Cricetulus griseus: one gene and its partners. The protein of the gene in region 3 purifies or fractionates together with the protein of the main gene of each other region. This does not show direct contact. Links are inferred from orthologs where the notes say so. Each region holds a gene or a part of one and is shown on either strand. Other genes may lie near its edges. The genes, in order: Ddx24, Zmynd8 and Tspyl1.

Region 1 (4,603 bases), on a different chromosome or scaffold from region 3:
AAAAAAAGAATAAAAAAAACAAAACAAAACAAAACAAAAAAACAAAACCTCTAATGGGTTTTAAAACCTAAATCTATACTTACAAACCTGCCTAGAAAGAAGAGAAAGCCCAGATGAATTCTAACAAATATTTAAGGGTGAAAAAAACATCAATGATTTAAAACTATTTCAGATAACTGAAAACACTTCACAAGTTATTGAGGCCAATGTCATTGTCAACATTAACACCAGACAATATCATTACAAAAAAAAAAACTATAGATGAATATTCTAATTTCATATTCACACTTGACCAAATCCAAGATATAACCAGCACATTGTGATCAAGTTCACTGTTTCTCAGGAATGTTTAGATTTCATTTTTGAAAAAATGAACATAATTCATTGCTATCAACAACTAAAAACAAAAACCCACATACCTAAATATGTGCAAGAAGAACATTTGGTACAAAAAAAAAAATCTAACATCCATTCTTGATTTTTAAAAACTCCTCAGTAAGAGAAAACTCTCAACCTGACTGCAAGGGGTTAAGTAGTGTTGTCATCTCCATCTGACTCACATGCTTCACAGAGATAAAGCAAGGATACCAAAGTCAGGCAGGGTTAGACTGCAACCCAGAGCTGGATGCTTTCTCAACACCATCACCATTCAACACGGTTTTTGTGGCCCTGTGCTCAACACTCCCCTCCTCCAGTTTTCCAGCCTATGAGGCAACCAAAGACTGGATGCAAAAGCTCTCCTGCCTGGGACAGACAGGACAGCCCTTACCTGTCTCAGCAGCTCCTAGGATGTCCAGTTTGTCACGGATGGCTGGGGGCAAGGTCAGAGCTTGGATTGGGGTGGGTGCAGAGAAGCCCAGAAAGCTGAGTGCTCGGAGAACCGCCTTGGGCACAAACAGGTCCCTCCATGCTGACACATCTGCCTTCTGGTCCTGCACTTCAGGCATCCATGTCTTTGCTTTTTTGGGCACTTTAGAGACAGTGCTCTGGGAAGGGCTTAATTTTTTTTTCCCTTTGTTTTTCTTCTTTTTTGGAACAGCCTGTGCCAGGTTTTCCGATGCTGCTTCTCCTACCTGTCTATCAGAACAAGCAGTGACATATGCCTGAGTCTCTGGCTCAGAATCTTTGACTTCATCCTGGGCTGTACTTCCTTCAGCAGCCACTAGCGCATCTTTCTGTTTCTTCAATTTGATCTTTTTTTGGGGGGAGCTAGACTCTCCCTCCTCCTCTCCCTCCTCCTCCTCTTCTGAAACAGCTTGGGCCTTTCTCTTCTTTGGCTCCTCATTTGAGAAGAAACCAGAGGGATTCTCAGCAGCAGAGACTAAACGGTAATCTGTGAGTTCCTCAAAGCACACCAAGCCATCCATCTGTGCATCCGCAAACAGATTTGGATCGATCTTCACCTGCTTCCATTTCCCCACGACTTTGAAGCCCCTTGTCTGAAATGTGCCACGGCTCGGTGGCTTTGGCCTTGATTTTGTCTCCTTTAACTTCATGGTTGCTGAAAAGAGACGTTCTTTTACGTTAGTGTCTGTCAAGCATAGGTTCTATGGCAACACCCTCATCCCAAAGAACCTAAAATGCATTTGACCCTGCAAATGACAGAAGACCTGAAAATGGTTTAACACACAGAAGATGCTCCCAGCCAGAAAATGAAACACAAACACCCACAGAATAGGTTAGTTCGCCTTGGAGCAGAGGGAACACAGGCAATGAAGTAAAGATCCATGAGCTAACACGTGTCAGGATCCCAGCTCCAACACTAAATACAACTTCAACAATACTACTTACTTGTCTCAGAATTTAGTGTCTTAATCCTCTAAAAGGAGAGGGGCATGATAATACCTGCTTTTATGCTGTACACAAATAATTGAAAGTATCAAGAGAGGTGCCAGAGGGAAGCCTACCCTACATGAGCCATTTCTGAGATGGAGTAAGAACCTGAGATGCTTTTTTCAGTTCTGTGTTAGGGGATGGAGTGTTCTTTACTACAACTGCACTGAGCTCTCTTCCCTGTTAGAAAAGGCAATGCCATCTCCACTCCAACACAGCTGTCTAGTTACACTTTAAGTGATCTAGAGCTAGCGGGAGATGCAGCTCAGTTTGTTACCCTAGAGTGAATGAAGACCTGGGTTCCACGCCCAGCACTGCTTAAAAACCATGCTTAGTGGGTAGCCAGCATTCGGGAAAAGGAGATAGGAAGATCAGGAGTTCAAAGCCAGCCTCGGCTACATGAGACCCTTGTCTTTAAAGGGGGTCGGATTATGCATGACTTATTTGAGTGGCAGTGGCTCCACACCGTCCTCTCTACATGAAAGAATAGACACTGTGGAAAGCACAAGGTAAAATTATACAATTATATTCTCGATTAACATCTAGAGCCAACACTTGCCACCTCTGAGGCTCAGTTTCCCCGACTACAACGTTAGGACAATGAGATATTTATCCCACTGGGTCCTCGCTTGAATACGACATGATGACGCATGTCAAAACCCGCTTAGCATGGCGCCCGTGTAGAGAGGCACGCTGACTCGCAGGCAAGGCTCCCCCAGCCGTCCCGGGCACCGACCACACCACGGCCCCACCGCACCGACAAGCCGAAGGGGCTGTCACTGAAAATGGGACGCGGGAGAGGCCCTGCGCCGCTTGCAAGACTCCCTCGGACACAACGACCGCACGAGCCCTTCAAGGGAGGTGACTGGGCCCTGACGCCTGCCTGCGGGCCCTCAGGCGTGGGGAAGCCAGGAACCAGGGCAGTGGGGTCACCCGTGACACGCGATGCTGCGGGAGCACCGGGAGCGCGTCCGCAAAAGGCCACGGCATCGCTCCGCACCGCACTCGCCGAGAGTACTCACCGCCAGCGATCTCTCACACACTCGGCGACGCCTGCGACACCCCGACCCGGAACTGCAGCAGCCTGCATCTGCAGTTCCGGGGCGGGACTTCAGGCACGCGTGCGCGCCACAGAAGGAAGTACCGCCTCCATAGCTGTCTGATTGGCATTGTTTCAGGACGTGGGCGGGAGCGGAAAAGGCCTGGGGTTGGCTCTGGGTCTCTTCCTGTTTATCACGTAGGCTGCTTCTTGGAGCTCGTTCCTGGACGCTAGGGAGCGCGAGTGTTCGCGTCATCTTGATCTAGTTTGGGTGCGGGAGCCCTTGCAAGGTATTGAGTACCTACTGTTAGCTTTGATGCCTTTTCTTGCCTGATTCACAGCACAACCACGCCTGCACTGAAAGTGCTGTGTTCTCCCAGTTCCCTTGAGCGCAAGGCTGGTGAAGACGGAGCGGCCAGTCCCGAACGCAAGTTTTAGAGCCCGATACGAAGACTTTAACGTTAATGAAAAATAATGAAAAAGATTCCCTAAGGTTACGGCGATGCCTAACCCTCTATAAACCATGAGTTGTTTCTGTTCTAGTCTGCATGTTTTTAAGCATCAACAACTAAAGTTGTTCCTACATCTCTGGGTGCTGAGGGAGTCTCACTGGAGAGGGTGGAAGTTCTCAGCCTCAACACTAAAGCAGTCCCCACAGTGTACATTGTGACATTTTCCAAAAGCTATTGAACCTGGGAAGGGCAGCATTCTAAAAGCCTGTCCTCCAACAGGTTTTTTTTGTTTGTTTGTTTGGTTGGCTTTTTTTTTTTTTTTTTTTTTTTTTGGTTTTTTGTTTTTTCGAGACAGGGTTTCTCTGTGGCTTTGGAGGCTGTCCTGGAACTAGTTCTTGTAGACCAGGCTGGTCTCGAACTCAAAGAGATCCGCCTGCCTCTGCCTCCCGAGTGCTGGGATTAAAGGCGTGCACCACCCGGCCTCCAACAGGTTTTATAGGTATTAGATCTCATACCCAGGACAAAAGGCTGTCCTATCACAGCAGACCGGGCAGCCAGGCTCGCCCAGCCTCTCTCAGTCCCCATCCATTAACGGGTATAACTAGCATACTCCACCCTCTACCATGAACTCTCCAGCCCAAGGGCTGGGCTGCCCTTCCCCCACAGGCTCTAACCTGTATAATCCAGACATTTTAGTTACCTACCATTTTGTACCTTTGACCTCCTGGCTGGTGCACCTAGTTCCTCTCTCCCTTTCCTGCCCTCTTCCCACAGGGACCAGCTCAGCCTGGTCATGTCCACTCTGGACTCTCCCAGATATCCATACCTCTGACTATGCTGTCACACATATCTGCAATAAACTTTCTCCTCCAGCGTGCCTAGGGGCAGTCGTGTCTTTTCCTTCCATTTTTATGCCTTACTTTTTCATTTACCCACCACTTTAATATTTTTGTATTAGAAAAACACATTTGTCGCCATGCATCTCTGTCTTTAACACAGCACTAGAGAGACAAAGGCAGGTAGAGTCCTGAATTTGAAGCCAGCATGGTATGGCGAGGGGGGAGGGAAGTAGGGAGGAAGAGAGAGAGAGAGAGAGAGAGAGAGAGAGAGAGAGAGAGAGAGAGAGAGAGAGAGAGAGAGAGAGAGTTAAGCATCAGTCAGGACAGAAAACAATCTAAGGGACACCATCTATTCAGAGGTTAAGTTTGGTGAGTACAGCTGGGTAGCTTCTTCTATTACTTTCAAAACTCCACCAGGGGGCTGACTACTGACTCATTGC
Region 2 (3,814 bases), on a different chromosome or scaffold from region 3:
GGTGGTGCACGCCTTTAATCCCAGCACTCGGGAGGCAGAGGCAGGCGGATCTCTGTGAGTTCGAGGCCAGCCTGGTCTCCAGAATGAGTGCCAGGATAGGCTCCAAAGCTACACAGAGAAACCCTGTCTCGAAAAAAAAAAAAAAAAAAAAAAGAGTGGGTCATTTTCCCAAGGTCCCACAGATAACAGTTCCTGTGCCCTGTGCTGAATGCTTGCCTACCGCTAATACACGCCTCTGACTGCACCTTCGTTTCAGACCTCATGTTTTCATGGTTGTTGGACCCTGGGGAGTCCAATACTGTTCCCCAGCAACTTTGCTGACCAACTGCCTGTGTCTTGGCTCTTCATGGCTCTTGCCCTTCCTGAGTTTTTCTTTGATGTGTCCAGGCCATTGCACTGGAGTGAAGGCAGTATGAAGAATTGACATGGTTTTCATTCTTTTGGGTTTATTTGTTCTTATTTGCCTACTGCCTGAGCTGGAAGCATACATGTACCTTGTGTGTGTGTGTGACACCTGCTATTCTGTCTCCTTTGATGAGCATAGACAGGTGTAGTTTTCTCTTGCCCCTTGGCAGCGGAAGGACAATGCATTCACATGAGCACCTGAGGCTCTGCAGGCGCACAGGGGGCCAGCTAGAAGGCTGGGCTCCAGGTTATCTGGACACCTGCCTCCACTTAAGGGGTGCAGCAGATTCCACCCTTGCCTGTCTGCTGCTTGCTGCTCGCAGATCCCACAGAGGGTGGTTCCCATGCTGTGTGCACAGAGCCACTACCTTGAGGCCTATGAGAAATTTTTTGGTTGTGACTTGGGTAGAGAATTCTAATTAAAACAAAACAAAAAGACAATGCATACAGGTAAGCCAGTGCTGCCCAGATGGTTAAGTATAAGGGAAGATATACATGGGCCGAGCAGTGGCTGCCATGCTAAGGCTCTGGCCTTCTGGAGCCCTAGACACAGGCAGAAGCCTGCCTGTTCACACTTGGGTGGAGTGCTGGGTCAGGAGCCTAGGCTTCTTGTTTGGTACCCAGTAGATTTAATTTGTGCGTAGACAAGGGCTTCTCTGGGCCCTTATTTTAATGGCTCCCCCATCTCCTCATCAGTCAGTGCTGCAGACTTGACATAAACCTGGCAGTCCGTAGGTCTGTCCTGTCCCTGCTTTTCTTGGATCTTGATTGTACCCCCATGCCCCCTTTCTAGCTGTCCCCATTAAGATGGGGATGCCACTTGAAGGGTGGGAGTGTGTATCCCTCCTGTCTTTCTTGCATAGCTAAGCTGTGCTGGTTTCTTTTTGTCCTTAGGCATAAATGAGATCTCAGAAGATGTTTACACAGCCGTGGAGCACAGTGATTCGGAGGATTCCGAAAAGTCAGAAAGCAGCGACAGTGAGTATGTCAGCGATGAGGAACAAAAGCCCAAGAATGAGCCAGAGGAACCTGAAGACAAAGAGGGGAGTCGGGTGGACAAAGAGGCCCCCGGTATAAAAAAAAAGCCAAAACCTGCAAACCCGGTAGAAGTCAAAGAGGAAGTGAAAAGTAACTCTCCAGCCAGTGAGAAGGCAGACCCTACACCCGCCAAGGACAAGGCAAGCCCGGAGCCTGAGAAGGACTCAGTAGAGAAAGCAAAGCCATCTCCTCACCCCACAAAGGACAAACTGAAGGGAAAAGATGACACGGATTCCCCCACAGTGCATTTGGGCTTGGACTCCGATTCAGAGAGTGAACTTGTCATAGATTTAGGAGAAGATCCTTCTGGGCGGGAGGGTCGCAAAAACAAGAAGGAGCCCAAGGTGCCCTCACCTAAGCAGGACGGTAAGCTACACACACAGCCTGTAGACTGTAAATTTTGTTTGGTGTTGATCAGACTCAGGACCTTGTGCTCTACCACTGAGCTATTACACCTGGTATTTGTGCGATTGCCAAGCCCAGTGTGACAGGGAGTGTCTCGGCCCCCAGCTTCTACAGTGGGAGCCATGGCCTGCACATGGGCCTGCTTGATCCTCAGCACAGAAAAGTTCCACGGTCACTGGTAGCTGCTTCTTATAAAGTTGATTTTGGCCTTAGGTCTGCCTGCTTAAGGTTTTACGTGGTTGAATTGGACCTGGAATTATATAGCCAAGGATGGCTTTGGATTCTCCCACCTCTACCTCCCTTGTGACAGACCACTATATACATACACACACACACAACTGAGCTACATGCCCCCTCCAGTAAACTTCCTTTTTAATATTCAGACATTTGGGTGGGGCTCAGGGATCAAGGGCTCTCTGAGTAGAAAGATCTAGAGGAAGCTTCCCCTTCTCTTGTGCCCTGCACGGGCAGATATATTTTCCTACTAGAAGTAGAATCCATTAGGGGTTGTGGGGCATTGAAAATGGAAGAGACCTTGGTCAGCACCCTCTGGGCAAGATAGTCTGTCCTATGTGCATTGAATGTACCTGAACCAATTCTTTGTCCCTTTCAGTGAAAGTGGTCTAGGTGCAACTCTGGCCTTTAGCCACTAGATGGCAGGAGCACTTGCCTATCAAACATGCCTGTCCCTTTTAGGCAAAGCCTTCCGCCCTGAGGATCACCTGAATCTTTTCAGGCTTGTTGCTATTGTGATGAGCAGTCTGGGCCAGCACCGTCGGCAGTGGGCATGCTGGCGACTTCCCCAGAAGGAGTTGAGTAACAGCAAGTTTTTGGCTGGCCAGAGGACTCCAACGTCATTCAGCTAGGGCCCTGGAATGACTTAAGTACATGGTACAGGGTAGCCTTCAAGCTGGGTGTACTTGGTGAGGTACAGAGGGGTGTCATTTTGCACTGTGCTTAGTTTCTAACAGGAGCCAACTTCTCATCGTAACCCAGGAGTAAGGTATGACCATGTCCCCCACATTCTTGTAGCCTGGTGGCCTAAGGCAAGTCTTTGCTGTGCCCTGAGAGCCTTTTCCCTGTGGGGTGCCCACCTGAGGAGTCTGGAACCTCAGCTCTTAATCGAGACAGATTTCTGTGACCAAGGAAGAAGAAATGAGATACCTGTGCTGGGGAGGGGGTGAGGTGGAGAGGGCAGGGGATGTTCAAGCTGCCGCTTAGGCCAGTTGAAGGCATCAGAGTGCCGCCTGGGGTAGAATGGAGGTAGAGAAGTGCACACACCTGTAACTTCCTCCGTGTGAGGCTCACACTCCTGTGATGCTTAGAATCTCCCATTCTTTCTGATAGAGGCTTTTTGTGCTTGTGTGTGTGTGTGTGTGTGTGTGTGTGGGCCGAAGGATAACTCATGTCATTATTCATGGTGGCAACTTTCTTTACCCACTGAGTCACCTTGCCAGCCCCCAAACACATCTTGATTGACTTACTGTTTGCTCTGGCTTTGGGGAAATGTTTTATATACAAATAAATACTAAGGTAGGCATGATAATGCACTTGGAGGTAGAGACCAGTGAATAAGGAGCTCAAGGTCAGCCTCGGCTTCTTCAGACCCTGTCTCAAACAGAACAGACCAAAGAAAACCCAGACTGTCCCAACTTCGGGGCAATCACAGACAAGAGTTTCCATTGCAGTTGTGAGCTTCTTAGCAGGGAAAGCAAAAAGAGAAGCATGGTTCCTTAACAGAGATCAGATTTTTTTTTCAGAAAATCAAAAGCATTCTTGCAGAGCTATTCCTGGTTTTGATGTCTGAAGGAAACTCCCGCAGACCCAGAAAACCCTAAGTGGATGGTAGAAAATTGAGTTAAAGATGGTTCTAGAACACAACACAATCAAGAGTAACTTTCCAAGGGTTGAGGCAAAACTTACTTCTGTCAACTAGAGTCCCCAAGATGCCCCTTGATGGACAGAA
Region 3 (4,584 bases):
TGTCATCAGGAGCCATGGACGTCAACAGAAATTATGACTCCCAAGGAAGTGAGGGGTTTGGTGGTGCTGCACAAATTTTGTGGAAAAAAGTTGACATCTCAGTAAGCACTTGTTAACTGTCAACATTTTAACACAACAAATCAATGACAGTAGCAACTATGCTTGTATCCTGGAAGATACAGTATTGCGCTCTCTTGTCAGACCTCTGGGATAATGTTGTGTCCATTTAAGAAATTTTGTAATTCCATAATCTTGTCAATTATACAAACCTATTAAGGCACTTAATGGTCAGGGTGAAAAATAAAACATCGAAGAGAGTGCTATGCTTTTATTCACCATCTTACATATAAAGGGCAACAAATATCTTCATAGTACAGTTCTAATATGACAGAGCACTTTTACAACTATTGTGTAATTTAAGAGGCTACCAAGAATATCAAGTCACATATCTATTTTTCCATGACAACAGTAATTGGACAAACTTGATAAAGACCAAATTATCTAAACTACGTTTCTAAGAATTTAGATTAACATTGAAAATTTTCATGAATACTCATTTGTCTCAATAGTGTCAAGACTATTGTTCTTCCAAATGGTTTCAAATAAATGCAAAAGAAAGTAATTTAACTTTCCTAGTAAATAGAAACAAGTAGCATTTTACTAAATGTTGGTAAAATATGGGCACAATATTACTCTTTCAGATACATCAGGTCACATATAAAAAGAAGAAAATAACCCAAACTTGTACCATTTCTTTAAAGAACCATTATCTAGGCAACATTTAGTACTCAAAACTCCCTATAATTTTTCTGTTGCAATCCTGAGAAAGTATTTCTCTTTACATCACCATTGGACTTGAAAGCTCTTAGTCAACCTTGTCTTCATCTTCAGCCCAATTTTTATCTGACTTAATCTGGTCCTAATCCATTTCAGTTCACTTTCCCTGCTTAGGGTACCCATCACAATCTCTTTAGTTCTTCCATACATTATAAGGAAGATCTCACCTGTTTCCACCTAGCTCCATCTCTCTATTATCCTGTTAGGCCTTGTTAACCTGGCTGGGGGGTTGGGAAAAAGAGAAGAGGCAGCCAGAGTTCTGCAGCCTCTCTGGCAGAGCATCCTCTCTGGAAATGCTACCAGTCTAAATGGACTACAAATGCTGATCTTGCAGATGTTCCGGAACTACTTCTTTTTATTTAAAATAACAAGAAGGTGGAAGAGGGTGAGGAACCTTGACAAGCGCCAATGGAGCTTGGTATATGCAACAGCAAGCAGTATTAGAAGGTGGTGCAGAAAGAGTCACAAAAACCACACAGAAGGTGGCCCACTTCTGTTCTCCCGCAATATCATTAATTCCCAGCAATTGTCTGCAAACTTGATGTCCATACTGCCACATGCTCAACAGGTAAATAGAACGGGCTCCCTAGACAAAGGTGGCAGCAAATAGCTAACAGACTGAAAACAACAGGGTCCAAGCACTGTAAAAGCAGTGTGATCTTCAGGATCGCGTGTTAAGCTTAGAAAGGGTCTGAACCACGACGAGGCAGCAGACACTAATACAGAACAGCGTAGAGGTCATATGACAGCAGCAGCATGTCCACAGTCTTCATCTTGAGGGCAAGAGAGACTATTCAAACAGCAGATGCAGAAGCCACAAGGAAAGAAACACCAAGAACACTGCATACCGTTGCCTTTGCTCAAGCACAGGTGAGAAGAGGCCTGCTCCAGCTGTATTTTCAAAGGCAGAGGTTAGCCTGACTGGAAGCCAAAGGGCCTGGGAATCTCCACTGGCTCTCTTACTGGGCGACGTCTGGGTCTGCGGATTCCGTCACGTGACAGGTAGTATTGCAGTGGGTTTGGCCACAGGTCCTCTTTGATGATCTCAGCAATTCTGTCGGATTCTGGAAGGCTGTGGTCTGAAAACCAGGTGAAGAAGCTGCAGATGAGGTTCTGGTTTCTGCGAATGAAGGACTGAGGCTCATGTCCCCTCCGCCATACGATTGGAGTGGAAAGGGACACCACTCGACCGGATGATCGAACTTCATATTCCTTGACGATCAGCTTGTTTCGGAAGTAGGGGTTCCTTCGAAAGAAGAACTTGAATTTGCAGCCAGTCTTCGGGTGTCTGAGTTCCTTCACCTCTAGGTTGGTGACGTACCTTAGCATCTCTGCATCCTGACCCCTAATCATGGAGGACAGCTGCGGGTGGTTCCGGAAGGCAGTCATCCAGAAGCCTGGGATGTTCTGAATGATGTAGTTCCTCCGTTCCAGGTAGTGTCGCCGCATCCGCCCAAACTTCTGTTCCAGATGTTGGAAGGCCCTGTCGGCCTGAGCGTTCACAGTGTCCAGTTCCTGCTGGATGGCCTCCAGGGGGTTCATGCGGAGATTGATGCCCAGATGCCAGGGCCCGGCCTCCTCCTCTAGCATCTCCATGTCCTCACCCGCGGGCTGCCGCTCCTCCTCCATCGCCGCCTCCTCTCCTTCCGCCGCCACTGGACACGGCTCGTCTTCAGCGGCTACCGCGACCGCACCCTGCTCGGCCCCCACGCCGGCGGCCTCGATCTCTGCGCCCCGAGTTTCTTCCGGAGCCACCGACGCGGGACCCTCGGCGGGAGGCGGAGCCGCTCCCCGCCCGGCGGCTGTCACCCGCACCCGGGGCTCAGGCCCCACGACACCCGGGGACGCCGGGCTGGCCGCGGTCCGCGCGCGGCCCTCACCTGTCGCCCCGGGCGCCGAGCTCGCCGGGACACTGTCAGCCTCGCGCAGGCCGCGGCTGCGGGGCACAGGGGTCCCCTCGTCCCGCTGCGGGCCGTCCATGTCGGGTCCGGCCGCGTCACCCTCGAGGCACACGCGTCTCCCCTCCGAGTGAGCCCACGCAGCTCCCGCTACGCCCCTTCCCCGTCTCCGGGGCGGTGACGTCAGAGCCGCAGCCCGCGACTCTCGCGAGAGTTTGCGGCGCCCGGCTGGGCGGTCATGGTAGGCGGACGTCCTTGCAGGACTTTGCAGGCTTCTCGGCGGCCGCACGGTCCTTTACACTGCCGACTGCCCAAGGTCGGCCGACAAGTGCATCCGCTTTCCGGTTACGTGCAAAGGTAAAAATACCTCCTGGCCTCCGAAAAAGCCAGGAGCGAAAACTGCCGACCCTCTGGGCTAACCTGGGCTACCCGGGGAGCCGCGGTCGTCTCGAAACAATAGTAAAAACACAATTCACTTCTAGCCCCCGACGTTCCTGGGGGACAAGGCTCTGTGAGCTTGTGGAGGAATTGCTGTTTTCTGGAGGATGTTTGCGGTTGTAACTAATGATTGCTCTCACTGGATAAACACCACATCCATTTTACCCCCCCCCCCCGTGGAGCTGAGGCGGGCAGAAACTGAGCCGCTCACCAAATCCCATAGAGAATGGCAGATCAGAGCCCAAGAGATTGGTCTCTGGTGGTCTCTGAACAGGATGTGACCTCACTGTCACACAAAAGCATAAACGCATAGCCCATGTCAAGTTGATTCATGTGCCCCCCCCACCTCGTCCACAAACCTACTAACAATTTACACATCAACACAGAACATTCAGTTCCTTTTGAAGGAACCGGCTTCCCTTTTGGCAGCCATAACAGCCGAACATGTGCTTGGCATATACCTGCCTTGGTCACTTAGAGGTCAGATGCCTGTCTTGTGACAAGGAACCAATCAGAAGTTAGCTGGTGGCGCTATGCTTTACGACCCTGGGTGTGCTTTACGGACAAGCGCACAGCAATGACGTAGAGAGCATAGCAACCACCCTGGGAGGGCCTATGAGCCATAACAACCAGTTGACCAATCAACACAGGGCAAGCCCTCCAAGCCTGGAGGCACACCAATCATGAGCCTGTGCGTACCCCTAGACACTCCCCTTACGCTGCCCTATAAGATCTTTGGGGAGACCTTAGGAGCCGTCTTTTTCTAGCTGTCCGCCATGGCGGGTGGGTAAAAGACCCGAGCTAACATGGGGTTAGCTCGTTAAATTACAATAAAGCCTCGTGCAGTTTGCAGCAAGCTCTCGAATCCGCCTGGTGATTGGGGTGACCGCGAACCTGGCCTGAGACCCCGGATACTTGAGTTTTCGGGGGTCTAACATTTTGGGGGCTCGTCCTGGATTTGCGACCACCCTTCACCTGAGTGGATTCGATCTTGGAGGTAAGATGATTAGAGCTCGCAATTTATATATGTTCAATGTTCTATGTTTCTTGTTTTGTCTCTTGCTGTGTTGGTTTGGTGCCATGATTTGTATTTGATCTGCGCAGAATTTGTATTTGTAATTCGGACTTCTGGGGAAGACCCTGAAGTCCTGCCCTGGATGAAAGTCCGAGGGTTGCTTGATTTGATCTGCGAAGAATTTGTAATTTGTATTTGATCTGCGCAGAATTTGTAATTGAACCATAGGGTAAGCAGACTTGTGAGACCCTTGGTTCCACCCTGGATGAAAGTCCAAGGTTTGGTTGTAATTTTGGTTTGGGGCACCATTTCTTTGCCGCGGTTTGTCCTGTCTAATGTTTGTGCTGTCTAATGTGCTGTCATTTGTGTTATGTGTTTCTTAAGCATCTCTTTCTG

Evidence for each region.
Region 1: the proteins of Tspyl1 (region 3) and Ddx24 purify together in Homo sapiens (affinity purification with mass spectrometry; 3 studies listed by BioGRID and IntAct, counting the BioPlex papers as one, with this or other methods). This does not show direct contact. The link is inferred for Cricetulus griseus from reciprocal best matches to the Homo sapiens genes TSPYL1 and DDX24.
Region 2: the proteins of Tspyl1 (region 3) and Zmynd8 purify together in Homo sapiens (affinity purification with mass spectrometry; 4 studies listed by BioGRID and IntAct, counting the BioPlex papers as one, with this or other methods). This does not show direct contact. The link is inferred for Cricetulus griseus from reciprocal best matches to the Homo sapiens genes TSPYL1 and ZMYND8.

What each region holds. Positions count from the first base shown.
Region 1 is NC_048598.1:102,656,826-102,661,428, reverse strand, and holds the start of Ddx24 (ATP-dependent RNA helicase DDX24), read right to left. Parts: upstream 2,968-4,603; 5' UTR 2,856-2,967; intron 1,502-2,855; 5' UTR 1,497-1,501; coding exon 770-1,496; intron 1-769. UniProt on the Homo sapiens protein: ATP-dependent RNA helicase that plays a role in various aspects of RNA metabolism including pre-mRNA splicing and is thereby involved in different biological processes such as cell cycle regulation or innate immunity.
Region 2 is NC_048599.1:13,607,146-13,610,959, forward strand, and holds part of Zmynd8 (protein kinase C-binding protein 1), read left to right. Parts: intron 1-1,299; coding exon 1,300-1,809; intron 1,810-3,814. UniProt on the Homo sapiens protein: Chromatin reader that recognizes dual histone modifications such as histone H3.1 dimethylated at 'Lys-36' and histone H4 acetylated at 'Lys-16' (H3.1K36me2-H4K16ac) and histone H3 methylated at 'Lys-4' and histone H4 acetylated at 'Lys-14' (H3K4me1-H3K14ac).
Region 3 is NC_048595.1:257,678,318-257,682,901, reverse strand, and holds Tspyl1 (testis-specific Y-encoded-like protein 1), read right to left. Parts: upstream 2,923-4,584; 5' UTR 2,818-2,922; coding exon 1,750-2,817; 3' UTR 314-1,749; downstream 1-313.